7 linked regions of the Bombyx mori genome follow. The protein of the gene in region 6 binds, or shares a complex with, the protein of the main gene of each other region. Links are inferred from orthologs where the notes say so. Each region holds a gene or a part of one and is shown on either strand. Other genes may lie near its edges. The genes, in order: mediator of RNA polymerase II transcription subunit 16, mediator of RNA polymerase II transcription subunit 7, mediator of RNA polymerase II transcription subunit 21, mediator of RNA polymerase II transcription subunit 23, mediator of RNA polymerase II transcription subunit 1, mediator of RNA polymerase II transcription subunit 18 and mediator of RNA polymerase II transcription subunit 9.

The links.
Region 1: mediator of RNA polymerase II transcription subunit 18 (region 6) and mediator of RNA polymerase II transcription subunit 16 share a complex: the UniProt entries of both Drosophila melanogaster proteins name them as parts of the mediator complex. The link is inferred for Bombyx mori from reciprocal best matches to the Drosophila melanogaster genes MED18 and MED16.
Region 2: mediator of RNA polymerase II transcription subunit 18 (region 6) and mediator of RNA polymerase II transcription subunit 7 share a complex: the UniProt entries of both Drosophila melanogaster proteins name them as parts of the mediator complex. The link is inferred for Bombyx mori from reciprocal best matches to the Drosophila melanogaster genes MED18 and MED7.
Region 3: mediator of RNA polymerase II transcription subunit 18 (region 6) and mediator of RNA polymerase II transcription subunit 21 share a complex: the UniProt entries of both Drosophila melanogaster proteins name them as parts of the mediator complex. The link is inferred for Bombyx mori from reciprocal best matches to the Drosophila melanogaster genes MED18 and MED21.
Region 4: mediator of RNA polymerase II transcription subunit 18 (region 6) and mediator of RNA polymerase II transcription subunit 23 share a complex: the UniProt entries of both Drosophila melanogaster proteins name them as parts of the mediator complex. The link is inferred for Bombyx mori from reciprocal best matches to the Drosophila melanogaster genes MED18 and MED23.
Region 5: mediator of RNA polymerase II transcription subunit 18 (region 6) and mediator of RNA polymerase II transcription subunit 1 share a complex: the UniProt entries of both Drosophila melanogaster proteins name them as parts of the mediator complex. The link is inferred for Bombyx mori from reciprocal best matches to the Drosophila melanogaster genes MED18 and MED1.
Region 7: mediator of RNA polymerase II transcription subunit 18 (region 6) and mediator of RNA polymerase II transcription subunit 9 share a complex: the UniProt entries of both Drosophila melanogaster proteins name them as parts of the mediator complex. The link is inferred for Bombyx mori from reciprocal best matches to the Drosophila melanogaster genes MED18 and MED9.

The regions. Positions count from the first base shown.
Region 1 is NC_085108.1:243,070-247,064, reverse strand, and holds the end of mediator of RNA polymerase II transcription subunit 16, read right to left. Parts: intron 3,861-3,995; coding exon 3,716-3,860; intron 3,640-3,715; coding exon 3,503-3,639; intron 3,307-3,502; coding exon 3,158-3,306; intron 2,642-3,157; coding exon 2,538-2,641; intron 1,765-2,537; coding exon 1,664-1,764; intron 937-1,663; coding exon 796-936; intron 662-795; coding exon 604-661; 3' UTR 554-603; downstream 1-553. UniProt on the Drosophila melanogaster protein: Component of the Mediator complex, a coactivator involved in the regulated transcription of nearly all RNA polymerase II-dependent genes.
Region 2 is NC_085119.1:10,080,492-10,085,170, reverse strand, and holds the start of mediator of RNA polymerase II transcription subunit 7, read right to left. Parts: upstream 2,893-4,679; 5' UTR 2,693-2,892; coding exon 2,507-2,692; intron 2,435-2,506; coding exon 2,166-2,434; intron 1-2,165. UniProt on the Drosophila melanogaster protein: Component of the Mediator complex, a coactivator involved in the regulated transcription of nearly all RNA polymerase II-dependent genes.
Region 3 is NC_085122.1:11,557,608-11,562,110, forward strand, and holds the start of mediator of RNA polymerase II transcription subunit 21, read right to left. Parts: upstream 2,915-4,503; 5' UTR 2,026-2,914; coding exon 1,984-2,025; intron 1,906-1,983; coding exon 1,627-1,905; intron 838-1,626; coding exon 712-837; 3' UTR 1-711. UniProt on the Drosophila melanogaster protein: Component of the Mediator complex, a coactivator involved in the regulated transcription of nearly all RNA polymerase II-dependent genes.
Region 4 is NC_085107.1:8,842,095-8,846,720, forward strand, and holds the start of mediator of RNA polymerase II transcription subunit 23, read right to left. Parts: upstream 3,108-4,626; 5' UTR 2,427-3,107; coding exon 2,304-2,426; intron 1-2,303. UniProt on the Drosophila melanogaster protein: Component of the Mediator complex, a coactivator involved in the regulated transcription of nearly all RNA polymerase II-dependent genes.
Region 5 is NC_085114.1:6,967,820-6,971,814, reverse strand, and holds part of mediator of RNA polymerase II transcription subunit 1, read right to left. Parts: intron 3,484-3,995; coding exon 3,249-3,483; intron 2,429-3,248; coding exon 2,253-2,428; intron 1-2,252. UniProt on the Drosophila melanogaster protein: Component of the Mediator complex, a coactivator involved in the regulated transcription of nearly all RNA polymerase II-dependent genes.
Region 6 is NC_085121.1:5,596,622-5,601,278, forward strand, and holds the start of mediator of RNA polymerase II transcription subunit 18, read right to left. Parts: upstream 2,902-4,657; 5' UTR 2,583-2,901; coding exon 2,490-2,582; intron 2,051-2,489; coding exon 1,916-2,050; intron 1,631-1,915; coding exon 1,426-1,630; intron 1,156-1,425; coding exon 1,043-1,155; intron 1-1,042. Other genes in the region: exosome complex component RRP4, read left to right, coding at 3,873-3,997, 4,071-4,308, 4,390-4,524. UniProt on the Drosophila melanogaster protein: Component of the Mediator complex, a coactivator involved in the regulated transcription of nearly all RNA polymerase II-dependent genes.
Region 7 is NC_085116.1:15,850,495-15,854,058, reverse strand, and holds mediator of RNA polymerase II transcription subunit 9, read right to left. Parts: upstream 1,810-3,564; 5' UTR 1,533-1,809; coding exon 1,429-1,532; intron 1,346-1,428; coding exon 1,240-1,345; intron 1,050-1,239; coding exon 909-1,049; 3' UTR 546-908; downstream 1-545. UniProt on the Drosophila melanogaster protein: Component of the Mediator complex, a coactivator involved in the regulated transcription of nearly all RNA polymerase II-dependent genes.

The sequences.
Region 1 (3,995 bases), on a different chromosome or scaffold from region 6:
GTACCTACCAGTAATTACATAATTTCATAGATTTTTTTGCGACTCCGACTTAAATGCACGATGTTATTGGCGCAAACTTCCTGAAAGTTAACCTAATCCTTCTCTTACTGATGGCCTGGAGGCCTTTTCAGTTTTACCAGGAGGAATGGGATTTGCTAAGTTGCCCAGGCGCCTCCGTGAGGAGACCTAACGACCCAAGGGCAGCTGCTTCGCGTATGAATCGGATCGGAATCGCGACCCGCTGACAAGATCCATTGAGAAACTCAGCAGGCTGACGTATGGCTTAGGTTGCACGTCGAACTCTTCGCCTATTTCAACGAATACGGTTACTAGTCCCTAAGCCTGCTCTTAGTGCTAGAGCTGAAGGCGTCTAATGCGAGAGTCGGGAAGCAGTCAGGGGCGGAAACGATAACAACAGCCGCCTTCTGCGTCACGTTCCAATCGCCATGGAGAGCCCCACGGAACACAGTCAACCGGATAATATGAAGTTGTATACATCATGAGAAGTTCACAGTTCGCTAACGAGCGTTTTAAGAAAATAAAACTAAACAACAACACTTAAACGTTATTTCATTTTATTATTTATCACATTCACTTGCAAGTTTATTTATCGTTTGAATTCATTTCAGTATTTGTGAACAGCGTCCACTTTCCTCCGCATCTGAAAACAGTAACAGTTGGTCAACGGGGTTTAAACTTTCATGACACGAGGGTTGGTTCGCTCTGTTAAATGACAACAAGGGGGCGGCGACTCCCCGAGGTCAAGAGCTCTTCTAGTAGTGGACGCAGACCGACCTGCAGCTGGAGACGAAGCGAGCGTCGAAGGCCCTGTGCGCCGGGTGCCTGGCGGGCAGCGCGGCGGCCAGCGCCCTGCCCCCGCAGCGCGCGCACCCCCGCCAGCGGGCCGGCCTCAACCCTCCTCCGAGGTACATGTACCTGACACGCAACCGGATATTATATATTATCATGTAATACATTTATCAATTTCTTGTTTACATTCTAACAAACTGTACGTTTCTAAAAATACGATCCGCGCATGCAGTACGGCTAAATGTTACAATTTGAAGTTTCTCTTGTTGCGTTGCGTGGTTCAATTAAAACATTTATATTTTATTCCGTTCTAAGTATTTTTAATTTGCTTAAAAAAAAATATTTTTTTTTGTTTTTTATTTATTTATTGCTAGATAGGTGGACGAGCTCACAGCCCACCTGGTGTTAAATGGTTACTGGAGCCCATAGACATTTACAACGTAAATGCACCACCCATCTTGAGATATAAGTTCTAAGGTCTCAGTATAGTTACAACGGCTGCCCCACCCTTCACGAAACGCGTTACTGCTTCACGGCAGAAATAGGCAGGGCGGTGGTATCTACTTGCGCGGACTCACAGATCCTACCACCAGTAATTATGCAAATTATTATTTTGCGGGTTTCATTTTTATTCACGATGTTATTCCTTCACCGTGGAAGGCAGTCGTGAACATTTGTTGAGTACGTATTTCATTAGAAAATAATAGGGAGTGGTTAGAAAAAATTAGTTATATCGCTTTTAGCTATTTACTTCTTTTAACTTTAATTATGTTTATCTATTCGTTATTTGTAATATGTTGTTGTCTGTATACAAATAAGCACAGTGTAGTGGCAACAGCTTCTGAACACTTACCGTATGGAGTCCATGGCTAGAGAGGGTGTAGTTTCACATTGCACGTAGGGGGGCGGCTCCGGCGCATATTTCAATGAATCAGGCTCTACTCCGTACTCCAACTGATAACATTATTTTTACATGTTATTTGAAGAAGGCGATAAACATTCAATCGCTAATAGGGCAGTGTAATTTATATTTTATTTATAATTCATTAGCTTTTATTAACTTAAGATACTCTTTTTCGTTATTTTTTAAAATTTATTTTGATTTTTGATCGTTCACAAGTTTAATCGACTAAATTATTATAGTCGACTATCTATATTGGATCGAGCCCCACACTACTCAACGGTTAAGGTCGGTGCGTCAGTACAAGACTCCTGTACACAAACATTGTACATGACCTCCGCCCGGCCCGCACACTACCGGACGTTTCCTCCTGGACCATTTTTCCCAGCAGCCCCTGTAGCAACCACGCCAGACCTCCGTGGCTACCGAATTTGTTAGGAATATTTTCTAAGTATACAAAAAAATACTACTTTCCTATGCGACCGAATGGTTATTTACATGTTTGAAGTTTAATTTTAATTTTGGCGGGATACTGAAGTTTAGCGAGGCTCTGAGAGAGAGCTCTTTTTTTGCGTCAATTTCTGTTATAAGGGTGAGTGGGTATCTTTTTTAGTTTACTAGTTCACATGATAAAACTATAACCGGCAGAGAGAAAATACAAAATGCATCGGAATACGTAGATACGAAACTCAGAACCAAATTTCTGACTTAATGAATTAATAAAATTGTAGTTTCACAGGTAGCTGAATCCTTGCTACCTCCGCCCCACTGGACCAGGTACGTACATCTATGTACGCCCCCTGGGCCCCGCGGGCACGCAACTTACATAGTGGGGTCCAGGTTTCTGGTGAGGCGCCGAGACACTGACCCGGGGGAGCGCCTCCCACACGCGCGGCCCCGGACATTGAGCCACCAGCGACGCACACTCCTCTATTACATAAAAACAAAAACTAATATGGTCATCATCATCAACGGTCCACGCTCGTCCACCGGTTCGAGCCCCCTGCTCCCCGCGCTGCCGCCGGCCCCCCTGCGTGAGGGGGTCGGACGGTGACAGAGCTCCCAGGACACGCTCCGAGCTTTCAGTGGACTGCTCCGCGGCGGTGCCCGGGGGCACACAGCTTGTGCGGGACAAATATGACGATATATGATTAATGTATTTTTGCATGTCGCTCCAATTATGGTAGAGTTAATTTGTGGTATCGCGACTCAGAGCTAGTAAAGGCGCGTGCGTGTGTGCGTACGTGCGTGTGTGATGTGTGTGCCTGTGTGTGGCGTGCGTACATGGGCAGCGGCTTGGCTCTGCCCCTGGCATTGCTGACGTCCATGAGCGACGGTAACCACTCATCATCAGGTGGGCCGTATGCTCGTCTGCCTATACGACAATAAAAAAATAAAAAAAACATGTGTGCGTGTAGCATGTGCGTGTGACTGCGTGCGTGGTACCGAGCAGGTCCTGCTTGAGCGCGGGCGCGGCGGCGGCGAGGCGGGCCAGGCAGCGCGCGGCGGCGTCGTGCGGCCGGCCGGTGCCCCGGGACAGCGCCAGCACCCTGCGCAGCAGCCACACCGCGCCGTTGTCCGACCACAGCTCGTACCTGCCACAAACACCGCTCTGAGTCCCTCCCGTCAACTGTACTACCCCAGCTGTTGTGAGTATATGTTTGTTGGGCTCCATGAGCAGGACGGACTCACGTGATGTGCAAGGGTTCCGCGGCCGCCCACTATAAGATGTAGCGTAAATGTAATGTGGTTTAATGTTACTAAATGTTGGCGGAGTGTCGAGCGGCTCACCCGTGCGACTGGTGGTGCGGCTGCTGCGAGAGGGACAGCAGCGCGGTGACGGCGATGTCGCCCACCCGCTGCACCGACACGCGCAGCGCCGCCAGCTCCGCGCCCGCCTCCGCCTTCGCTTCTAGCGACGCTATCAACTGTAACGACGAACCAGCTCCGTGTAGTCCACGGACATCGGGACACGACAAGACAGGTGTCGTCCGGTCCACCCACCTTATCCTGCTCGATGTGGTTCTCTTCGCAGTCGCCGTCGGGCCGCTCCTCCAGCTTGAGCGCGGCGGAGGCGGCCGCCCACACGACCTCGCACGTCTGCAGGCACGTCAGCCAGGCGCCGCTGCCCGTCAGCCGGGCCGACAGCCTGCCCTTATACACACTTGTGTTAAATCTCAAGTCTCGTACTCAGTCGGTGACTACTTTTAATGACATTAGCTTATAATGACGCCCGCCCGCACAAGCACTGATGTTAGTGAGGGTGCATCAGCAGGCGGGCGGT
Region 2 (4,679 bases), on a different chromosome or scaffold from region 6:
AATCGAATACCATTTATTTATTTTAAAAAAGATTCTCGGTCTTGTCACGAGGTTTTGTCAAACTTGTTTAGTCGTTGAGAAAATGGAATTGACTCGAGAAAATTCAAGAGCGATGATTTATTATGACTTTCGAAGTGGTTTAACACAAAAACAGTGTGTTGACCGGATGATTTCTGTATTTGGTGATGAAGCCCCATCCAAAACCACAATTTATCGCTGGTTTGCTGAGTTTCAACGTGGACGTGTCAAGCTCAGTGATGATTCCCTTCAAGGTCGTCCAAAAACTGCAGTCACCCAAGAAAACGTTGATGCTGTGCGTAAGCTGATTGAGGAAGATCGACATGTGACATACCGCGAAATTCAGGCAACTTTAGACATTGGCATGAGTCAAATACAAATAATCTTGCATGAACAATTAGGTGTAAAAAAGTTGTTTTCCCGATGGATACCGCATTCGCTCTGTGAAGAGCAAAAAGCGGCTCGCGTTACTTGGTGCGTCAGAACTCTCGAAAGATTCCACGCAGGATCCTCAAATGCTGTATACAACATTGTATCAGGTGACGAATCCTGGATATACGCGTACGAACCCGAAACAAAAAACCAGTCACGAGTTTGGGTGTTCGAAAATGAGTTAAAGCCAACAAAAATTGTTCGTTCACGGAGTGTTGCAAAAAAAATGGTGGCCACGTTTGTCTCCAAAACCGGCCATGTTACGACTATTCCTCTTGAGGGACAAAGAACGGTTAATGCAGAATGGTATGCTAGCATTTGTTTGCCACAGGTCGTTTCTGAACTCCGTAAAGAGAACTGCAACCGCCGCATCATCCTCCATCACGACAATGCGAGTTCTCACACCGCGCACAGAACAAAAGAGTTTTTAGAGCAAGAAAACATAGAATTATTAGACCATCCGCCGTACAGCCCCGACCTAAGCCCTAATGATTTCTATACTTTCCCTAAAATAAAGAATAAATTGCGTGGACAGAGATTTTCATCACCTGAAGAAGCTGTAGACGCCTACAAAACGGCCATTTTGGAGACCCCAACTTCCGAATGGAATGGTTGCTTCAATGATTGGTTCCATCGTATGGAAAAATGTGTCAAATTTCGCGGAGAATACTTCGATAAGCAATAAATACATTTTTAAATAGTAACTTCGTCACTTCGTTAATTCCCGAAATTTTCAGTGCCGCCCTCGTAGTATCAGTAAACAATATCTGCTAATTTCTTTTTTTTTATATTAAAATATTTTTGTATATTACTCAAAACAGTTCAAATTTGGAAATCTCTAAAAAGTGCAGAGGGCAGATTTTGGTTTGAAAAAGATGATATGACATTATGAATACTAAAATTTTTTTATTGAGACAAGTTTAAGGTTTTTTACTGGTGGTGGTAGGACCTCTTGTGAGTCCGCACGGGTGGGTACCACCACCCCGCCTATTTCTGCCGTGAAGCAGTAATGCGTTTCGGTCTGAAGGGTGGGGAAGCCGTTGTGACTATACTGAGACACCTTAGAACTATAACTCAGGGTGTGTGGCGCATTTGCTTTGTAGATGTCTATGGGCTCCAGTAACCACTTAACACCAGGTGGGCTGTGAGCTCATCCACCCACCTAAGCAATAAAAATAAAAAAAAATTAAACTCATTACAAATCTGATTTTCATTATTCTGCTTCAATATCAAACATTGGGAGAACTTAATATGACTTTGTGTTTAACAGCCTATGGTAAGATTAAACACAATAAATTTATTCAGGTTCTACTAATTATAAATAAATTAACATAACATTGATGGGCAAAATGTCTGGGAATCTCAATCATGAAGGTACTGTGGTAACAGATAAAAATGTCTAATCACTAGTGGCACCTAATGTTTCCAACCAGTGAAAATCCAACCAGTGAAATTTAAATCAGACTTTCACATTACCACCCAATTAAAGATCATATTATAATGTTAAAGCCTAAAATAATAAAGGATAAGTCACACACTTAATGGTTATATCATGTGTGTGGCAAAAACATAACTTAAATATTTATGTTGGCATCTTTTTTATTTTGTCATTTGTGATCTGAGATCTATCTTTATTTTCTAGAATGGTTCCTTGGTGTCCAGTATAGATATAGTAGAAACACCAACATATGACAAATTAACGCTATTAATAGTACCTTGCTGCAGTTTCAACCCTCTGTCTTTTCTGCAATTCCATCATTACTCTCAATGTTTCTCTTGCTTGGTGTGGCCTAAATTCATTTAGAAGATGATGTATATGAATAAATAACAAACTTAGGTCTTCTACTTTTTCTGCTCTCTTTGGAGAATCTGGACAATGAACAAGCAAATCCAACAAATCCAGAAAATTTGCCAGCAGTGAATGGTTAAGTTTCTTCAATTCTCTTCTTCGTTCAAAATGCATAGGATACAATCTTCGAAATCCCTGAAGGAATTTTTTACAACGAATTATTTACATAAACATTTGTGTTTGTAAACTAGTTGTTTTAGGACTTACCTGGCTTTCTAACGAACGTATAATAGCATCATCAGCGTTAAAAGAATTACCAAACATTGAATAAGAATCATGAATAGGTCGAGGTGGTAGAGGAGCTCTATTTCTTCTAACATTTTCATCCGTGTAAAAATTTATATATTGCATTGGAGGCAGAGGTAAAGAGCTAACTTGAGCTGTCTCTGACATTGTGAACCGGGAATCCGTACGTACGATTCTAGCAAACACTTAATAAAAACGGAATATGCCTATATTTACAAAAAAAGATTTACATACTCTTAAATATTGTGTTAAATTGAAGAAATTTATTTTAAAACAACTTTACACACTACAGTATGAAATGTATGAATTATTATGAGCTTTGTCTATGCTTTCTAAAAAATAAGTGTTTAATCTATGCTTTAGTATGCTTTTTTTGTTTGATTGGCCTTATGGATAAGCAAAGGGAACATAGCTCATATATTCCAATTTTTGCCACCAAGGTCGAAGGTGTTGTGAAAGTTAAATGAACTTCAATTTAGAGGTGAGTTTATGACAACACCGTAAGTGTGGACAAAATGAAGTGAAGTAATTTTTCGCTAAAATTCTGAGAATGTACTGAGTGTTCAATGAACCTTTAGAAAAAAAAAATCCCGAACTGATTTTTGTCGAAAGATTTTTGATGTTTTATAACCAAAAAGAAATTTCATGTAAACAATTTGGCTTTTATAAATAAAATAAAAAAGATGTTTTATGGGCTTTGTTCCTTTAGCTTTCGCAAGTCGTGGAGACAATTAACTATTAAGGATGTTACAGGAAAGATTGGCAACAAACTTAGGGGTGGGGTGTGTCTATAAAATCATTTAAAATGGTTTCATAAAATGTATCACACAAGAAAATCAATGAGTAACTAAGATCTGTTAAGTGTATTATAACTTTGCAAGATTCTGGTGTCTGGATTGAGCTGGATCAATTGGATTATAGCAGTAGGCTCTCATACAGAGGACAATATTTTAGGTGTGTGGCGCATTTACGTTATAGATGTCTATGGGCTCCAGTAACCACTTAACACCAGGTGGGCTGTGAGCTCGTCCACACATCTCAGCAATAAAAAATAAAAAAAATTAAAAGGCACATCGCGATTGCGATTAAGTGGATACACGAAACTGCAGTTTGACAGTGTGGCGGGTAGCCATCATACAACGCAAGATGATTGACGGATGCCTGAATCTCGCTTACGACATTTTCAAGATCAGCTTGCTTATATACAAGTTCCGAACAACAACATTCGGACCGTCGGTCTACAGAGCAATTATCACCCGCTCGGTGGAAGATCTTCCCTTTATCGTATATCTACAGTAATAGTTGGCCCTACTGCAAAGCATGCTTTCTGTGGCGGATGCCTAAGTTTCGAGCTCTGCCTTATCTTGAAAATGTCGTAAGCGAGATTCAGGCATCCGTCAATCATCTTGCGTTGTATGATGGCTACCCGCCACAGACAGCATGTTTTGCAGTAGCGCCAACTATTAAGACTTGAAAAAATTCAATTATTCGCTAAAGACAATAAAAGTAGTTTTATTTACATTTCATACGTAATTGTATAACCCAAATAAAAAATGAAAAATGAAATAAAATATCTAATTTAGCAGACCTTTGGCAGGAATTCGGGATGTAAGTTTTATGAATTATTTTATTTGATCTGTATATTTTATATAATTTATAAAAAAATTCTTCAGTTTTAATCCAAGTTAAATTTCTTTTCATAATTAGTTCCATTTAATTTTTCATTAAATAAACATGGTGTGAGATAGGTATGTTTAGATACCAAATAATAATAATAATAATAAGAGTATTTTAGATCGCATAACCGTATGGAGGAGCAAGGAGTTACACGGTAGGTTCTACCGGGCTCTCACAGGGCCTGATGTAGACCAATTAGCTTCCGTGGCCTGGTTACGATTCAGTAACCTCTTTGGGGAAACTGAAGGTTTTATCTTTGCAATTATGGACGAAGTTATCATGACGAACAACTACCGGAAATATATTATATTAAAGGATGGGACGGTCGACATTTGTCGGGCATGCCACCGTCCGGGAGAGTCTATTAGACATATTGTTTCTGGATGTTCTCGGTTTGCTAACGGCGAGTACTTGCATAGACATAACCAAGTGGCTAGGATTATCCATCAACAACTTG
Region 3 (4,503 bases), on a different chromosome or scaffold from region 6:
TAATATTTAGATTCGAGTCCATTCCAGCATATACAGGGCGTACAACAAAAAGAAAAATTAAACCTTTAATTAAACATAATAACTTAATTAAATTAATTAAACATAAAACATAAATATTTTTTAATTTAATTAAAACTCATGTTCATCATTGAATACAATCACCTTTACTTTTTCCTTGTGTTCATTTTATTTTATGTATATAGATGAACGAGTTCATCTAATATTAAGAGATTAACATAGCCCAGAGATCCCAGTCATTGCCGCCACTCATCTCAAAATCATCATCAACAACTAACCTGTGCTTCAAAACTGGAAAACAACGGCTTTACAGTATGTATAGGCAGAGTGGCGGTACCTACCCTTTCAGACTTAAAGTATGCCTTACGTAATAATAGAAAATAATGAATAAACAAGTCATGTATACTTAACTATTCAATTATAACAAATGATTACTTAAAATGATATATGTCATACCAATGTTTTTCTTATTATAGTTTCAAAAATATGACATTCAGACAATTTAGTTTTCACCGGCATGAAAGCCCTGTAACAAATTTGCAAACAACAAAAAAAAATCTTCGTCATTAAGCATTAAGATTTCAAACACAAAATTTTAAAATTCATATAATACTAAAATACTTCCGTGTATTCTTGTTTTAACGTATCCTTTTGTAGAGGAAACTACCGTTGGTAGAACCCCAGACCCCATCCCTATAACTGTGGTTTCACATCCTTGTTGAGGATCAGAGCCGGATTCTGCATGTCCAACTGGCACTGAGCAATATCACTCAGAGCACCCTGAATCTTCTCTAGAAGAATCTCTCCTTGACGGACTACCTGTAGAATTATTAAATATTGTCTGACATTATTATTAACGCTAATGAAAAGAGAGTAAGTCATGTGTAATTATTTTCATATCGACGCTTGAAAGGCAAACGTGACTAAGCGACAATAACTGCTTTATACATGATAGGCAATAACCATATTCAATGCCAAAAAAAATATATTTCTAGGTCTATTAAAATCATTTCAATCCTACAGCTAGTTTCGTTAAAATAGAATTTTTTCAGGTATTTCATCTTGAAATTAGTCTACTGTGAAGTTCACGCATTGTCGCTTAGTCACGTTTGCCTTTCAAGCGTCGATATGATTACTTCCAATATTTCAAATACTATAAGTTTTTGTAGTCATGGCAATCTAAAACATGAGATTAATCTGTAAACACCCTATGGGTTTTGAAAATTGAATAAAGTAATATTCGCTGATACAATTCCAGTGTGCCATCTCAAAATGAAGTTAAGGAAACAACTTTAACCAAATCGCTATTACTGTCAATTTTATCTTAAGTAGGTACTAATTTATGTTTAAATATTGGTGCTTGTTTACATTACAAAAGTTGACTATAGACAAAATACAATGTCTGTAATACAAATACTTTCTTGGAATATTTGATTTTACATTCAAATGGCAATACAAAAGCAAACTGCATGGCATAATTACTTCTTTAAAATCATTATTTTAATGGTTTAGTTACATGATAATTCCCAATTTATGATAAAAAAGAAAGCTAGTGTCCTTTGAGATAAATTGCACGTGTATTGGGCACGGAGAGTTGACAGCCCTTACCTCTTCAAGTTGCTCAGCAGCCTCCTTGTTCTCGGCCTCAAGTCGCCGAAGGCTTTGCACTTGCAGCTCAGTTGAACTCTCTTCACTGGGCAAAGACTCGATGAGCGTGTCAATGTCCTTAGCACAACGAGAAATTAGAGCCGCGAATAAAACCGCATAATCCTCTTGACTCTGCGGTTGTTGAGGAGTCTGAGAACCACCGCGTTCGAAGCCTGGGAACTTGCTAGGCAACGAGAACTGCTGTAGAATTCCGATGCTGTTACAAAAATTCTCAGCTTGCTACAAATAAATAAATACAACGTATGTGAAATGTATTAATGTCAATTAAAACGAAATGTTCATTTTTGTCATACGTACTTGGTTTATGGTATCTTGAAGCTGAGTTAAGCGATCAGCCATTATTCAATTCAGATATTTATCCTACTAACCACTGTTAAAATTTAATCCTTATATGGATATTTTCTATGGAAGGTGGTTTTAAGCTACCTACAGTATCAATTTGTAAAACTACCTTTTGAATGAAGTTATTTGAAGTTGAACGTTATGACGTTTTTAAGTAATATTTCCAATATTTCCAGGTGGAAAGGCGAAGATATCACACACCATACATCCTAGTCTTTTGTATGTACATTCTATTCTCTTTCATGAAAAATGATCATATGGAGCGAAATGAAATAAAGTTGATTCATTTGAGACATTAATCTAAAATCCAAATAACTTGAAGTTCTGTAAGGAAACAATTATATTACGATCGTTTAACTTTGGCGTGCAGCAAAACAGTACCTAATTTGGAATAGTAACGCCATTTTAAGCCAGAGATCTTTTTTGCCACGTACCATACGGCTTTGGAATGAGCTCCGCTCCACGGTGTTTTCCGAGCGCTATGACGTATTCTTCTTCAAACGAGGCTTGCGGAAAGTACTTAACGGTAGGCAGCGACTTGGCTGTCCCTGGCATTGCTGAAGTCCATGGGCGATGGTAACCACTTACCATCAGGTGGGCCGTATGCTCGTCTGCCTACAAGGGCAATAAAAAAATACATTTAGAACTGCAATCATTCTCATCAGTATTAAAATTTAGAAAACCATTTCTCCGTTATATACATTATAAGCTAAATAGTAATGTTGCTAATAACAGGACCACTTGACGTTTCGGTTTGAAGGGTGGGGCAGCCGTTGTAAGTATACCTTAGAACTCATATCTCAAGGTGGGTGACGGTATTTACGTTATAGATATCTATGGGCTCCGGTATCACTTAACACCAGGTGGACTATGAGCTCTTCCACCCATCTACATATAAAAAAAATTAAAAAACTTTAATTATAGGCAATGAAATGAATTTCAAAATTTCCTTTATTTAATGTAAGCAGTGTACACAATAGGTAACCATAATATTACCGACTAGAAAAACATCACAATTATTGAGTATTTAAGTATAATAAAAAACCATTAATGAACCTCTTTCATTTCAGACCTTAAACGATTATTTTTAAATTTTAGTTATTCAATGAAACAACATTAACAATAAGCTGGATTCACATTACGGATATAACGAGGTTGTGTGTTCAAACATGTTATTGTTTAATGACTACTACAACTATTAGTCTAATTCAATCTAAGGCAGCTGTGCTATAGTAAAATTGGCAGAACTTTACTAATTTGTAAAAGTTTTCCGTTTTTCTTTTCGTTTCGTGTAAGCCATTTTTTTTACAATCAACAAACACCTCCTGTCGCGCAATAAGTAAATATCAAATCCTCGCGTCATTTTTGTAACAACTAAAATTCATCAAGAAGTTGCGTCGCAGTGTGTGTAGGCTACCGAATAGGTAGGAAAAAAAACTTCCATCACCGCTTTCGCGCTATTCTCGTACGAATTAACAATAAAAGACTAGATAGCTTTCAGCCTAACCTGCACTCTTTAAAAATAACTAAGCATTTGCGGTATCACATTTTTATGATAGAAATCCGCCGTTATCGAATTTAAATTGCTTAGAAGTCAACAATGAAAATTGCTAAATTAGATTTTTGAGTACTGTATGTACATACCCAACATAGCATCTAATTTTTTTATAAATTAAGTACAAAACTTTACTAATAACAGCAATATGAATATAATTCATTAGCATAATAATATAGCAAATAAAAATTCCCACTTTTTTTTGAGTACCTAACTAAATTATCGTTTGTAAAGTAAGAAAGTGAGCGCAGTTGGTTGAATAAACTAGCACTCGACGCATGCGCATTAGTTTTTAATTTTTAAATAGGGTAAGTTTGTCTACCGCCATCCTTGTCTGACAAACGATGTTACGCATTAACTCTCTCACTCTACTTTGGATCTAGGTTTCCATCTTTATCAGCTAGCAACCCCCGTTTGCGGCCACATTTACAAAGACAGAGGTTTTAAATTGTGCACAGAAAAAAAAACACACACACACAAAACCTCGTGATTGTTATTAAAAATGTTTTAAAACAATTTAGATAAATTGTTTGAAAACTTCAAAGCTTCACACTATAGTACCAAAATTATTATCAAATACCTTAAAATTATAGATCTATTCTCAATTTATTATCAAATTTTATGCATAAATATAGTTATAAACATAGCAACAAGTAATGACTATTTACTAAAACTTTTAAAAAATCACACAATGAAATAGTTTTAACAATTCACAATTAGTTTTGTTAGAGAGCATCACAAAGCTTAACTTTTCATTTAGAATCAAGTGCAAACAATCATGCTAAGTATTGGATTTAGCTATAATTAATAAAATTTTCAATCCTCATTAAAGCTTTACACTCTGAAGGGCAAGCACGAATGACTATCGAAAAAGTATTCGTATCTCTATCGAGAAAAAATAGATAGGATTTAAACAGTGC
Region 4 (4,626 bases), on a different chromosome or scaffold from region 6:
CTTTTATGGATTAATCTCGTATTAACTCTTTGGGTCATTTTGAAAAATTTACAAATTTCGTGGTCACACAGACAACTGAGAACTAATATAATTTTACGTTACGTCCTACTACCACAACACCAGACACTAGAGCGTTTCAACAACTTTCTATGACTATCGTAGTACATTCTTGGCAGCTGAGAGAACTATCTCCATGACTAAGAGATAAACATCCACCCTTGAAATAAGTTATAATATCAAGTTCATTCTATATCACCAGAGTGGATGTAATTTCCTCCAGATTGACACCCAAAAGCCTCTAATCATCAGAAGCAGGAACATTAGAGGGGCTTGTATCTGAGATGGTAGTAGAACACATGTGTCCCAAATCACCAAGTCACATACAGCTGATATTGATCTTAAACCCCTTTTCCAATTTCATTATATGGAAGTGTCTTATTTTTTCCACTGTTATTCTATAAATTCACAACTCGAGTGATTATGTATGTTAATATGTAATGTAACATAATTAAAATATCTATAAAGGCTATTTTCACTAAGGACACAACAATGGAGAAATGAGCGCTTTAGTTACTGTAATTAATTTCCATTTGTCTCTTGAGCATATAGGAGAACTTTAATTGTTGCCAATCTCTAATAATGTAGGGGACACAGTATGGGAAGATATTATAATGCCCAGATGCAAATTTCTTAATCACACTTCTAAAATAATTGAAAATTGTTGGTAAATGAAAGGACCCAAAATTGACTTAAATTATGACCAGTAATTTTAATGTTTGAATTTGATAACAGTAAGAATGAAAATAGGTAATTTATTTATGTATTTATATAATCTATTTATGTGTTTGGTAAATTTATCTATTTATGTATTTATAATAGTTACTTAATACTGTTTGTAAAATATTGTTACATTTTTTATTGATTTACAGTTTTTATCAGTAAAAAGCTGCAAGTTTTGAGACAAGACAAGTACTGTTTAAATAAACGTGCAGATAACTGTAAACAATATATATAAAAATAAGTTAGATAATTTTTGTTACCAATTAAGGAAACAACAAATATATTTAAATTTTTTTACTGCTGAATTAAAATAATTGACCTTTTTAAATTTATGTTATTTCATGAAGGTTAACAAGGATGATCACTAATTTAGAATTGTTTACATTTTTCAGTACTTTTATGAAAACTGTATACAACACTTACATAACACAAACATATACATCAATTATAAGCACATAAAATATTTCAAGAACATCAGAGGTTTCAAGAATATACAAAATTTGCAAAAACGAAAATGTGTTCATAATGCAAATTATGCTTAAATATTAAATAAGACTAAAAATTCTAAACTGAGTAATTTAAAAAAGCTATTTTAATATTCTCATTCATTGTTTTTTTATTGTAAGAAGTTTGTAAAAGATTTTCAAACAGCATTTTAAATATTATTTCAATATACTGAATGTACTATTAATATGTTTTATTTAATATTGCTGCCAATTCACAGTTTGGTGTTCTGACACTGCAAATTTTATTTATCAATAGTTTTATACTTTAAGATGTCTTAGTTGATTAAAAAACAAGGTTTCTAGTTTAATCCCTTTACAAATTTTATCATTTGCTACAGTGCTATGTACAATTTACATTCTGTGATAAATCTAGCCCATCGGTCAAAGTTTAATTCAGAATAAAACAAATATTTGAGATATTAATTTATCTTAAAAACTGAAACAAATGCATAAGGTTAACTTGGCAACAGTAAAATAGAGTTGACAATTCCATAGTTTTAATGAAATTTGAAATATTCTGTTATTTTCATAACATAATTGCTTTTTTATTCATTTGATACTTAGTCCTTACGTTCCATGTTAGACTAAATTTATTACACATTGTAAACACGCTAGATGCTTTAAACCTAAACATAAATGAAGCAATCAACCTTCACATCAAGCCAGCTACATACAATAAGCACGTGGACACAAATATTAATAAACGCAGAACAGTACATATTCAGCGCGTAATGAATGAGATGAAATTAATTTTTATTCATAAAACCTCTGATCTCGAAGTACAACTTACCATCAGCTCATGAGTCCATGTTTGCAACTAAGAAACAAGTTCGATTATTTGTAGGTTTTATTCATGAAAAACAAACAATAGTAAACAACATTTTGTTCATAATTAATGTAGATGATCATGTGAGTAATTTTTTTGTCAGTACCTATTATTTTCACAGATGCAGGGCACAGTAGAACGTTTACCTTTATATTTACCAATATATTATTAACCAAGAAAAATATATTTACCAATATTTCATTCACTATGTTGGCGACTTGCGAATCGGCCATTTCCGTGATTATATTTTCCTCGAACATGCGCTTGGATTGACGGTCACCTTTATACAAAAAACTAGCTAAGCACTGGAGCATCCAAACTACGCTTTCAACAAAACACCGAAAGGTTACAAAGTTATCGGTACATGTCTTTCAGAATAATAATTATGTATAAGATCTTTGACGGAAGAAGTTAACTCAAGAAAGAAATTTTAATTACAAATGCAGCTGTTAGGAATTATGTTCTTCTTAAATTTACATGCCAACGTTAACAAGTAAAAACTGGGATACTTAAACCATCACTACGCGAAATTTAATAAATGACTAAATGCATTGAATAATCTATGCTAAATGTGGACACTGGACAATAAAGGACTTTTTGGCGGGAACGCGAGGAGTGAAGTTGTGTGATTTGTTTTATTTTGTCTATTTAGTGTTTCTTCAGGTTTAAATGTGTAATAACGGTGGTTTATTAACTGTTTAATATCTGTGAAAGTGCACAAATGTGGGAAAATGAAACAAAGCTGCTGGACGTAACTTCTCGGGTTCCTCCAAAAAGTCCACTGAAAAAATCTCAGTAAATGACCACCATTTTACTGCGATTATATTTCATCCCATATCATCTCATTTCATTTAATTTCATCCCAGTTGATTAATGTTTCAAATTAATCATCTTCATTTCATTTCACTCCATATTATCATTTTTCATAAAATTAAGAATATAAGACATGACTTAAAGGTCTTAGTTACCAGGTCATAAAATCTCTTAAAAAAAAAAAAAATGGACAATAAAGTTTGAAATGGACTTTTTGGCGGGAACGCGAGGAGTGAAGTTGTGTCATTTGTTTTATTTTGTCTATTTAGTGTTTCTTCGGGTTTAAATATGTAATAATGGTGGTTTATTAACTGTTTAATATCTATGAAAGTGCACAAATGTGGGAAAATGAAACAAAGCCGCTGGACGTTACTTCTTGGGATCATCTAAAAAGTCCACTGAAAAAATCTCAGTAAATTAGCACCATTTTACTGAGATTATATTTCATCCCATATCATCTCATCTCACTTCATTTGATTTCATCCAAGTTGATTCATGTCTCAAACAAATAATCTTCATTTCATTTCATTATTTTTCATAAAAATAAGAATTCAAAAAAAAAATTAAAATAAGACATGACTTAAAAGTCTTAGTCACCGGGTCATAAAATCCCTTAAAAAAAAGTTTGAACTTTACTCTTTGTATAAAATAATTCCCGGTTTACACTATTCCAGTCCAGTGATCGAATCCAGCACTGGATTGCTTACTGGAAAAATGTAAACTGGCACTGGATGCACTGAATCCAGTTAGCATTCCAGTCCAGTAACTGGATTGGCGGTCTACTTTTGAATTCAGTGCGACCAATCCAGTGCACCTGGATCCAGTGCCATTCCAGTGCTGACACAGTAAGCACGTGTTGGTTGTTTTTGCGGATTACTGGGGCGAATAAATTACTTAAAAATGGTGAAGAAATTATCTGACGATCAAATTTTAAAGCTTCTTATGTTATACGGAGAAAATCCTTGTTTATAGCACATATCATCAGAAGATTATTTAATAAATATATTACACATGTGTCGGTGCAACGTCACTATTTAGTTGACTTAAATAGTTTTCTTTTTCTTTCTTTCTGGCTTTTGTTACTTAGATTTAAATACAACTTTGCCAACGTCGGGTAGTGGAGGTATCAACATAATTTGTTAAGATTTTATGTGGAAGAATAAGCAGACTCGGTTTTTTAATATCACAAATTATATTTTATTCACATGACACAATCTTATTAAGTAGAGAATGTATCCATGGTAACAAGTCAACATTACTAGTGCGGCGACACGCAGCTAGTGCTATATCTCAACATAATTATGCTAAGACCTATTTAGTTTAATTTTTTTTGCATTAAACAGTTAGTAGGAACTACAATTTTATACTATTAGCGTTTATGAAAGATCCAAGCAAGTAGACTACCGTTTTAGTGGGGAAAGTTAATAGGAAGTTCATGTTGATGGGGAGGGGGATTATGTTTGTTGATAAAGTATATAGAGGATCACACTTATTGTTAAGGATACAGTTGAAGGATATATGATCCACAGTACCTTCCTCGGATTCACAGTTGCATATTGCTGTATTTCTTAGTTTGAATTTGAACAGTTGAACAGGTGAGTAAACGTGACCCAGTGGCATTCTGATAATAATGGTACTTTTGTCAAGATTTCTGTACTTAAAAACCCTATTAAAAATAGTTAAAGTAAAATGTTTCATAAA
Region 5 (3,995 bases), on a different chromosome or scaffold from region 6:
TGAGGTTTTGCTGACAAGTAAAACGAGCAAAAAAAATAGAGAGAACATTTAGTTTCAAAGAAGTATTAAGTTAAATTGTGGTGCAATTAAATATAGAAAATGTTAGAAAGAGAAAGAGAGAGTGTGTGTGTGTGTGTGTGTGAGAGAGAGAGAGTGAGTGTGTGTGTGAGAGAGAGAGTGAGTGAGTGTGTGAGAGAGAGAGAGAGAGAGAGAGTGAGTGAGTGTGTGAGAGAGAGAGAGAGAGTGAGTGTGTGTGAGAGAGAGAGCAACAGGCAGCGGCTTGGCTCTGCCCCTGGCATTGCTGAAGTCCATGGGCGACGGTAACCACTCACCATTAGGTGGGCCGTATGGTCGTCTGCCTACATGGGCAATAAAAAAAAAGAGACAGAGGAGAAAGAAAGAGAGAGAATTCTTTATAGTAACATCAGGTGGACAAGTATCTTGGGAAACGAATTTCAGGCGGTGTACCTATCGATTGAAATATACTTGGTCTGGCCATAAATACTGTTACAATTAAAAATAAACAAAATATTACATTTGAATTTGGAATCTGTCATTTTTATATGATTGCTCATTGAGTTTTCTCATTTTGGCGCCAATACATAGTACAATATTTTGCGATATTAAAATGGAGTGGGGTGATAAAGAGAACCGAATCGCTGTGATTGCATTACACAAAGTAGGTATGGAGCCAAATGCAATGTTTAAAACTCTCCATACGCTTGGTATTAGTAAAATGTTTGTGTGCCGGGCTATTAATAGGTGCAATGAGACCTCCTCTGTTTGTGACAGAAAAAGATCTGGCCGTCCACGTAGTGTTCGTACGAAAAAGGTGGTCAAAGCAGTAAGGGAAAGAATTCGAAGAAATCCTGTCCGAAAGCAAAAGATTTTATCTCGGAAGATGAAGATAGCACCTAGAACCATGTCGAGTATTTTAAAAGATGACTTAGTACTTGCATGCAGCCTATAACAGACGTACTGGTCATTTCTTAACTGATAATTTAAAAGAGAATAGGGTGGTAAAATCGAAACAACAACTGAAGCGGTAAGCAAAGGGCGGTCATAGAAATTTTTTACAATTGAGCAACATTTTAACAAACAAAATTACTGTATTTCTGCTCAAATCTCTAAGGAAGCTTCCCAATTAGTCGACAGAGTGCAACGTGGGCACTATCCGACTTCAGTGATGGTTTGGTGGGGTATTAGCTATGAAGGAGTGACTGAGCCATACTTTTGTGAAAAAGGTATCAAAACATCGGTACAAGTGTATCAAGATACCATTCTTGAGAAGGTAGTGAAGCCCCTTAACAACACCATGTTCAATAATCAAGAATGGTCCTTCCAGCAAGACTCGGCGCCAGGTCATAAAGCTCGGTCAACGCAGTTTTGGTTGGAAACGAACGTTTCGGACTTCATCAGAGCTGAAGACTGGTCGTCGTCTAGTCCTGATCTTAATCCGCTGGATTATGATTTATGGTCAGTTTTAGAGAGTACGGCTTGCTCTAAACGCCATGATAATTTGGAGTCCCTAAAACAATCCGTACGATTGGCAGTGAAAATGTTTCCCGCGGAAAGAGTGCGTGCTTCTATTGATAACTGGCCTCAACGTTTAAAGAACTGTATTGCAGCCAATGGAGACCACTTCGAATAAGCTTTTTATACTTTAAATTGTTTTATATTTATGTATTAAACTAACACACTGTAAAAGTAATAAATGTTATTACTTGGAGCCTCTGGGTCTGCGGAGGGACTTCGGTTCCCTCTGTATTCTGTACCGTATGTTCCATGGGGAGTGCTCTGAGGAATTGTTCGAGATGATACCGGCATCTCGTTTTTACCATCGCACCGCCCGCCACCGGAGTAGAGTTCATCCATACTACCTGGAGCCACTGCGGTCATCCACAGTGCGTTTCCAGAGATCTTTTTTGCCACGTACCATCCGGCTATGGAATGAGCTCCCCTCCACGGTGTTTCCCGAGCGCTATGACATGTCCTTCTTCAAACGAGGCTTGTGGAGAGTATTAAGCGGTAGGCAGCGGCTTGGCTCTGCCCCTGGCATTGCTGAAGTCCATGGGCGACGGTAACCACTCACCATCAGGTGGGCCGTATGCTCGTCTGCCTACAAGAGCAAAAAAAAAAAATTGCAATAGAATTTTTTTTATTTTTAAAATAATAGTATTTATGGCAAGACTAGGTATATACGAGAGAGAGATCTGTAATGTTATGTATAAGAGTAGGGGAGGCATGGTTACCGGCGTGGTGCGGGTGCGGGTAGAGCGCGCGGTGCGGGTGCGCGGGCTCGTGCTTGAGCTGCTCGCCGCCGGGGTCGAGTCCGCCGACGCCGCAACTAAAATTCGAGTCCAGGGCAGAGTAGCCGCCGTTCATCTGCTTCGCTGCGGCCTCGCGCTCCCATATCTTGACGAGAGACCTGAAACGAGCGAGATAGTATTTAAAAAAAAAAAGCCATGTGACATTTTTTCCTTTTTTTTTTATTGCTTAGATGGGTGGACGAACTCACAGCCCACCTGGTGTTAAGTGGTTACTGGAGCCCATAGACATCCACAACGTAAATGCGCCACTCACCTTGAGATATAAGTTCTAAGGTCTCAACTATAGTTACAGCGGCTGCCCCACCCTTCAAACAGAAACGCATTACTGCTTCACGGCAGAAATAGGCAGGGTGGTGGTACCCACCCGCGCGGACTCACAAGAGGTCCTACCACCAGTAATTACGCAAATTATAATTTTGCGGGTTTCATTTTTATTACACGATGTTATTCCTTCACCGTGGAAATCAATCGTGAACATTTGTTGAGTACGTATTAGAAAAATTGGTACCCACCTGAGATTCGAACACCGGTGCATCGCTCAACACGAATGCACCGGACGTCTTATCTGTTAGGCCACGACGAATTCAGAATTCCTTTGTCCGTCAAGCGATTTCCTGTATATTTTTCTTTAACAGTTATCGAGGAGTTTCAGTGTTAAAAAAAAAAAAAAACATTAGCCAATACGTTTTCATACAAATTATTGGACATTTGATAAAAAAAAATTACGATACATCACGTTGCGCCCGTCAAGCAACTTTAACTATGTCGAAGCTGACTTTTGATCTTTAGCATCGTGTTCTATGAAGAATACAATATTCTAGAATTTCTTATTTTATGTGTGTAGAGTTAGAATCTAACCAATGAAAAAAGCAAAATATAATTGTTTTTTTTTTAATTTGCTTTATAATGATATCTCACCTTAACGTTATTGGTATAGAATGACTCTTTTGCAGCACCCTGGTGATGTAGTCGTCGATGTGGTCTCGAGCCGGACTGTTCAGCGTGTACACAGACGCGCGGGGCGAGGCCGGATCCGACAGTTCAAGTTCGACGGTGGCCATACATTCTTCTAGCGGATGTTCCAACGATATAGAAATGTGCTGCCACGAGAGGGCGCTCACTTCGAACATCAACACCTTTTCGAGTTCGACAGCTGACAAATAAAACATAAACAATATTATTTTTGGTATACAGAGAGAAAAAGAGGTGATTGCCACCACCCTCATAACATCAGGTGCGGCGTTAGGTCACCCATCGGCAATACTCAGCGATAAATATTCCACTTCGTCCATTGGAAAGGGACAACCAATCGATTTCAGTTTCACAGAGCGTTGTCTCTCTCGCACGAAACGCTATCAGTTGAATACTTTGTATGCCGTTGCAACAGCGCCCCTAGCGGCAAACGTGGGTAAACGTTACAACTCTATACAAATTTGAGTTAACTTTTACGCTATCGAGAACGTTAAAAACTCGCACTATGCACACAAGACGGTACACTATTGCAGTTAGACAAACGTCACATATGTTGCGACCGGTCGAGTAATCAAAACGTATATACCGTAGATTGGGGGGAATAGGGACTAGGTGTAGAATAGGGAGAAATCTGGGTTGTCACAATGCTTTTGTGAGATTTAAATTTGTTGAATTGAAAATAAATTTTATTTA
Region 6 (4,657 bases):
GGGTAAAAGTCTTCAACAACTGAAATACACTACACATCACATAACATACATGAAATAAAATAAATCCACATTGCTCTACAAACATCAACTACATACATTAATTATATAAAATCTACTTAATACGTACAAATAAGAAGAAAAAAAAACAATTGAAGCTTATTATTGAGCCTTACTTATTCATGGAAACCTGTAGGTTAGGTTACTTATGTTTTTATAGCTTGAAAAAACCAAGCTGTTTACATCAAAACCAAGCCAGCAAATTAAAAATCTCTTCCTTATTTTTAGTTTATTTACAGTAGATTGGGGAGAATAGAGACTAGAGTTAGAATAGGGACAAATCTGGGATGTCACAATACTCTTGTTGGGTTGTTAGATATAACTTTGTTGCACTGAAGATGACTATTATTTAGTGTTTAAGAATATTATATAGTTTAATTCAGATATCAAAACTTTGTATCTCATTAAAGATATAAAAAATTAATTACCTAAAGTTAGGTACCTACCTAAGAACTAAATAGTGCCAGCCTTATCGAAAAACTCTGTTGTCCCCATACATAGCGTATTTTTTTTATTGCCCTTGTAGGCAGACGAGCATACGGCCCACCTGATGCTGAGTGGTTATCGTCGCCCATGGACTTCAGCAATGCCAGGGGCAGAGCCAAGCCGCTGCCTACCGTTGTATACTCTCCACAAGCCTCGTTTGAAGAAGGACAAGTCAATGAGAGAAATAGCCTCATTCAAAGAGAATCGGGTCAAGCAAGTTTTTTAAGGTTTTGTGTATATTTTGTGACTATATGAACTATATAAAATAATGAATCGTATTTAAAAATTTAAACCTTCGGAGCCATTTTAATCTCAATTTTATTGGTATTACCCTAAGAATAAAAGCATTGAAAATTTGTTTTGGAATTGGAAAGGGTCCCCATTTTCCCCAATCTACGGTACTTAAAGATCATATATAATCATCATACTCAAGCAAAACCAGAAAGCGGTATTGTTTGGGAAATTTGACAAATTATTTAATTGGGTGTCAAAAACTTACAGAAAGCTCCACAAGATAGCTCTGTGAGATAGGTTCAGGTGGCATTGAATTTTGAGAAATCTTAAACACTTTTGCTACAGTAATTTTCATACGACCTTTTCTAAACATGTAACCTGAAATTTAGAATTAGAAAAAGCTTAATGTTTTTTATAAAATTACCGTAATTGATTGATTTTAAATGAACCACTGAAAATTATATGCAATTTAATTAAATCCCAAATCTAGGTAATACTTTAAATTGAATTAGTATTTTTGACTATTGGTCTTCTTTGATTCGTCATTATTAACAATAGTGGTATAGTAATAGTGATGATTTAGAATATACTATCAAATACATGTACAATCATATTACTCATAATTGTCATTATAATAAATATTATTACCTTTTACACTGTATTCAAATTCAATTCGGCATCCTAGCTCATTTAAAAATTCAATGAGCATTCCACTGCAGGCTATATCAAGACTGGAACGGACAACTGTTGGCCTATTTTTGTCCCCCAAATCAGGCTGCCCAATGTATCGTAACTGAAATGGCATGTCTCGAGCATCTAATGCTTTACGAACACGCAACATGAGAGGGGGAGCCTGAAATTTAAATTTATTAAAGATGAACTATTAGAACATGAAAGAAAAATATATAGATTCAGGCATGTCTTTATGCTCACGAATTGTACAGTATTAATAGTGATTACCAAATCATTAGCACTTTTCTTGACCAAACAGGTGACAGCCCAGGCAAAATTTAATCAATTTATAATTTAATACAAGTTTTATTGTATTATAATTTTATAACCATTTTATATTCTAGTGTCCTAAAATAATAATAACATTAACAGAAATATTTTAAAAAGTTCTAAGTATTATTATTACCTGATGATGATTAGGATCCCGTAGACTGAAACACACTTCCTGGTCATCAAATGTTTCTGGCCCAGCATCAACATTGTCACAAAGACCACGTAATCGGTGAAGTAAAACTTCTACTGCCGAGTCCAACACTGAGCCCTTAATCAAATTTTAGTGGAATCAAAAATTAAATGTATAATATTCAACAATTAACAAACTTGACTGAATCTTGAGAAAAGTTGCTGCCTGTTGCCTAATTATCATAATTTCCAGCTATGAAATACTGTAAAATTGAAAATCATTAAATGAATTATTTTTATTTATTAAGAACAGCATTGTAGGCATTGTAACTAAGACCTTATCTCATGTTTTTTTGGGCTGCTATTATATGTAAGCTATGTATGTATGGGTTCTGATAATATTTTGAATGTAGTATGTAAACAGATCAAATGGGTCAAAAGAATTGGATACAATAGCTGCAACTATGGTAATTAGTTCTGTTAAGTATGCAATTTATGGAAACTGTAGAAGAATGTAGACTATATTGTAATTATTCTGAAATTTAAAATAGCTGAGCCACTTCAACATCCTGTAGTACCTGAAGTAAGTATTCCTGATTTGGTATAATGTTCGCTTTTAAAGCTTGCGATAAGCTATCTGTAGCTGTTATAGGTGCAGCGTTTGCCGACATTTTATGGAGCTGAAAATCTGAAAACCTACTTCAATAGCAGCTATTTAAAGATTTAAGTTTTGAAGAACTATGTGTGAGCCAAGAAATCATTACACTTATAAACGACTTTTCTGTCTCATAGAGGTGCATTCAGTCTAAATAGTCCATATAACCGAAACTATAAATATTGCGTAAAATAAAAAACTAGGCAATTTTAAAGGAGAAAATAAATTCTAATTTCTAATTAACATAATCTAAATACTCATATTGGAATTTAACAAGGTAGAGATATGTTTGCAATCGCTGTTAGCTTGACAGTTACTAACAATGTTGACATTTAGCCTCATTTAGGTGACATTTTGTAATTTCCTTTTTCAAATACAGGAGAGAGAGGCAATGGTATCGCATCATATTATCATATTGGTACGGCCGTATTTGTTTTTAAACATTTTTTGTCACCAATGATTCTACATGCGAGGAGTGAAATTGTGTGATTTGTTTTATTTTGTCTATTTAGTGTGTCTTCAGGTTTAAACCTGTAATAACGGTTGTTTATTAACTGTTCAATATCTATGAAAGTGCACCAATGTGGGAAAATGAAACCAAGCCGCTGGACGTAACTTCTCGGGATCGTCCAAAAAGGCCAAAATCTCAGTAAATAACCGTCATTTTAGTGAGATTGTATTTCATCCCTTATCATCTGTTCAGTTCTCGTTCAATCACATGAATGAACAATGAGTGTGAAGAGTTAATCATTAATTTCAAACTATAAAAGAATATTATTTATATTTTACAATAAAATTGTATTAAAGTGCTCCAATATATGTTACTAGTAGTATGTAACTACAATTACTTTTTTTTATTTTCATTACATACCTATAATTGTTATATTTTATACATCTATAATTTCAACTATATGATGTATTGGAAATAGGACAGTCTTACAAGCTTCCTCGCAATGTTTTTCTTAATGTTTAAAACACTCGGTATTCAGTGCAGGTAGATACTATAGGAACATAATATTTCGTCGAAAACTCATTGGTTGTACAAAGCACGCCTAAAATTCGAACCCCGTACCCGATATCGGCAATTCGGCACACTAACTATTCACTAGACAATCGAGGCAATTTCATTAATTCAGGAGTTTTTTCAATCGTTCACTTTGTCACAACACTATTTTTATTTCATCAAAACCTGACAACACAGTAAACGTCAGTTGACTTCGTCTAATAAAAAATCCGACTATAGGTCTATGAGTTCGTTGTACACAATTCACAATTAGCAAAGAGGGAGCTTAAAAAAACATTAGAAATGGTCAGTCATGTATCTATAAAACTCGCATCTGAAAGAGTAAATCATTCGGTTGCCTCAAATAATGACCCGCCGCGTTTTTACACTCCTGGCGAAGTCATAACTGGGATACAAGATTTTATGAGGTCGGTATTTTTTGCGAAAACAATATTGTTAAGAATTATTATTACTATAAATTTAATAATTTTGCACTTTAAGAGGCCACGGAACTTACGCAGAAGATGATTGCCTAAAAGCATCTGTTGCTGGGGTTATGCAAAAAGTAAATAAACTTATATGCATTCGCCCATTGAAGAGTCGTTACGTTGGAGAAATAGGCGATGTGGTAGTCGGAAGAGTATTGGAAGTTCAACAGAAAAGATGGAAAGTTGATACCAATTCACGACTTGATTCAATACTTCAACTTTCTTCAGTAAATCTACCTGGCGGAGAATTGGTAAATTAACGCACACTTCCATAATATAAAGCAATCTTCTTGTATCTAATGATAACTATTTATATATTTTTTTAAATCCAGAGAAGGCGTTCAGAAGAGGATGAGCAGATGATGAGAAAACATTTACAGGAAGGTGATTTGATAAGCGCTGAAGTACAGAATGTATTTTCTGATGGTTCGCTCTCATTGCATACAAGAAGTTTGAAATATGGCAAGGTAATCAGATTTTATGAAGCCAATAAAAAATGACTATTCTAAAGTTCAACAAGAATGTTATAAGGAAATTAAAAATATTCAAATATGTAGCAACATTAAATTTTGAAATCCTCCAAAGTGAAGATGATATTTA
Region 7 (3,564 bases), on a different chromosome or scaffold from region 6:
TCTAAAATCTATATTGATCTTTTTATCTAACTTAAAGGTTTTTCTAGTGATTGTTGCATAGTACAATTTAGTAGTTTTACTACCAAGGGTAGAACTCCTGTCGTTTTCTGGGGACGTAGTGACACTGATTAATCTAGACAGCCTCAAGCCATACCGCTAATCCACCTGTCACAATGGGTCGGCATATTTTCGCAAGTTAAATCACTAATAACCTCGAGGTTCTTATAACACTAATTAAAACTCAAGTATATATTTTTACAGCACTAAGCTTAATCTTTTAGGGTCACTTAAAATATTTGAACACTTAAAAATAAAAATTAAAGTTAATGAGATCAGAGTTTTGAATCATCATTGCCTTAACTCTGAAAACCTTATAATCGCAATAAAATTAGTGAAGCTAGCTGCTTTCTAAAAGTAAATATATTTTCAATATTTTGACATTTACAATGAATACCATTGCAATATTGTGATTTTTTCTTAGAATTAAGTAAAGTTTATATTTTTATTGATTTGTTCAGAGTGAGTGAAATAAAAATAGCTCTAACTATGTTACAGTTTTTTATTATCTAATTTAGTAGTTATATTATGTAAAGGACACTACTGATAGTGAATTACAATCAACAGCAACTAATCCATGGTTAGCCAAAAACATCCAAGGAACTATTATTATTTTTTCAGTTGTTTTTTTGCATCCTGTACTCCTTCCTTCAAATTTGCACTGAACCTTTTTAAAAACTCTATAAATTTATTAACTTTCTGTGGATCAACATCAGAGAGCTTTTCCTTCCCTCTGTAAAATACTGAGACAGCTAACTGAGCTGCTCTTCGTACAGGGTAGGACTCTGCAATCTTCTGTACAATTCGTTCATTATTGGCTAAGTATTTAAGCAGCGCACGTAGAGGCATCTTCACTTGAATGATGTCTCAAATGAGCACATATTCCGATACTTCTGTAAGAGTTCACGCTTTAATCTCAGCTGAGTGCGGAGCAGTTCAAATTGCTTCAGCTGGTCGTGTTTGTTGAATTCTATACCTGGGAGCCTCCTGATCTGAAATGAGTGATATATTATTGCAGATAATTGTGTACTGGTTGATGATATATTATGGCAGATACTTGTGTATGAGTTCATGATAAATTTGATTCCTCAAAATACAAAAATTATGCTGACTTAGCATATTATTTTTACATTACAAATGTTAAATACCAAGTATGTTTCCAGTATTTGAAAGTAATCTCACCTGAGCTTTAGCTATTTCTAGCCTCTTTTGTAATTCAAGAACTCTATGACTGCACTCGTGGGACTCGCGTATTTTCGACGCGTTGTCGTGAAAATCTCTCTCCACGCTGTAATAAAAACATTTAAAGCACCAGAAAATACAAAATGAACTTGAGCAAATCTAGTTTGTCTCAAATAATACGCAAAATACCTTCGTATTATATCGTATACAATCGGTAAAAAGTCTACATCTACATCCTCAACAGTCAGGGGACTGTAGTTCGTCTGTTCTGAATGATCTGTGTTGTTTTCCATTGTACAAATTTTAAGCACAATTTTTCACTTGCTTATTATGTAACAGATTTTATTATACGTACGTTGTTTATTAATTTATAAATTTATTAGATTATGGTTATTAAACACATAAACCTAGGTACGTAAAAAAGTAGGTAGATTCTTTACCATCACAAAACCGAAAACGACAAAAATAATGATGTGTTATTGTGTTATCTATGGACAGCAATGGACTATGGACGAAATCGCGGAGAATAAGTCGAATGTTTGTGTGATCGGTGTTCGACAAGCAAAGGAAATAAAGCTCATACACGAAATTTTTGGAACGAAGTTCTTTACGGCAGGCTTGGAGGAGATAGGGATTTTGCTGCACGTCCGAACTGAAAAAAATGTGATAGTAAAACCGTAAGAAAAAGTCCGTGGAATAAAACCGTTAAATAAGACGTGCGCAGGCGCGACAGTCATATACACAAGCGAGTAGTGTATAATACCTTTCTCTTTTTATGTATATTCTTAGTACGATGGCTATACAGTGTCTAATGTATAGTCTACGTGATGACGGTTATTATTATAATTCGTATAAATAGCTGTTTCTTTGTATATTATTATTATAATTTTTTATAAATCATTGTGAATAAAATAAAGTTGATAACTTTGTAATGTAATTATTATTATATTTTTATCAATAAAAAATAAAATAATAAAAATGTATACCTGAATAATTATTTTCTTTAGACCTCGAATAGAACTTGAAATTAATATTTTTATAATAAGGAACTTCGTTCCTATCCGGTGTCCCACGACACCACACATCTTTTTTTTACAAAGGCTGTAGTAATGTCTGTTAAAGAAAAGTAAAATAAAATGAAAAAAATGTTTGAAATAAAATGAATTTGAATGAAATTATATGACCATCGGTGTTTTATGGGACGAAATAAATTAATCAGTCTGAACAATAGTGAGAGTTTACTCGTCACTTAACTTTTTAGAAACGCTTGAAAAACCAAGTTCAACAACTTGGTTCCATTTTCTTAATCTTATCCACTTTCACGAATACGAAACCGTTGCTATTTATTAAACTTGTAGAAACACTGGATTAAGAAAATAGCACAACTCAGACAAGTTATCTTCTCCTATTTCTGCCAAGATTTTGGAATCGACTAAGAAAATAGAAATTTTTTAAACTACTTACCTATCATTATATTCTGCATAAATTTTAGGCCCGACTCTACGAAAGTTTTAAAATTCTACTAAGTTTATTCACGCTGAAGGTAATTGTTTTTACTCAACTAATTATAATATGTGCTTAGTGATTTTAATTAATTAAAAATATATCAATCAGAGGTGCTACGGTAATAAAATACCCCATTCTTTCTAAATCAAGAAGCTCTGTAGTGATACGTTTTAGTATTGAAATCGCATCAGATTTTAAGAACGCCAAATGGCACTTCGAAACATCAGTAGCAGGCTCTATCCGAATCATTTTCTATGGTTCGTACGTATATTAAAATATGAGTTAAGAGTGTGTTGCTGTGTGTTATTTTGTTTCTGACAGGGTATACGAGGAACGAAGTTTTTTTATTTTTTTATTTTTCTATTTAGTGTTTATTCAGGATTAAATGTGTAACTTAACAATAACGGTGGTTTATTAATAATTTAATATCTGTGAAAGTGCACCAATGTGGGAAAATGAAATAAAGCTGCTGGACGTTGCTTCTCGGGATCGTCTAAAAAGTTTACTGAAAAAGTTTCAGTAAATAACCACAATTTTACTGAAATTATATTTCATCCCATATCATCTCATCTCATTTCATTTAATTTTAGGTCAATTTATTAATGTTCCAAATGAATTAATTTCATTTCATTTCATGTCATAACTATTTTTTGTCATAAAAAAAAAATAGCATATTAGGCTGTATGGTATGATACTTTTGCCTTTTTAGTTGGAAAAGTGGAACTACCACTTTGTTTTTGACAGGTGACAGTCTTCGTTAAACAGTAAAGTCAAAATAGCCTAAAAATGTGAGTTTTGTGTGACTTTGTTCATACGTTA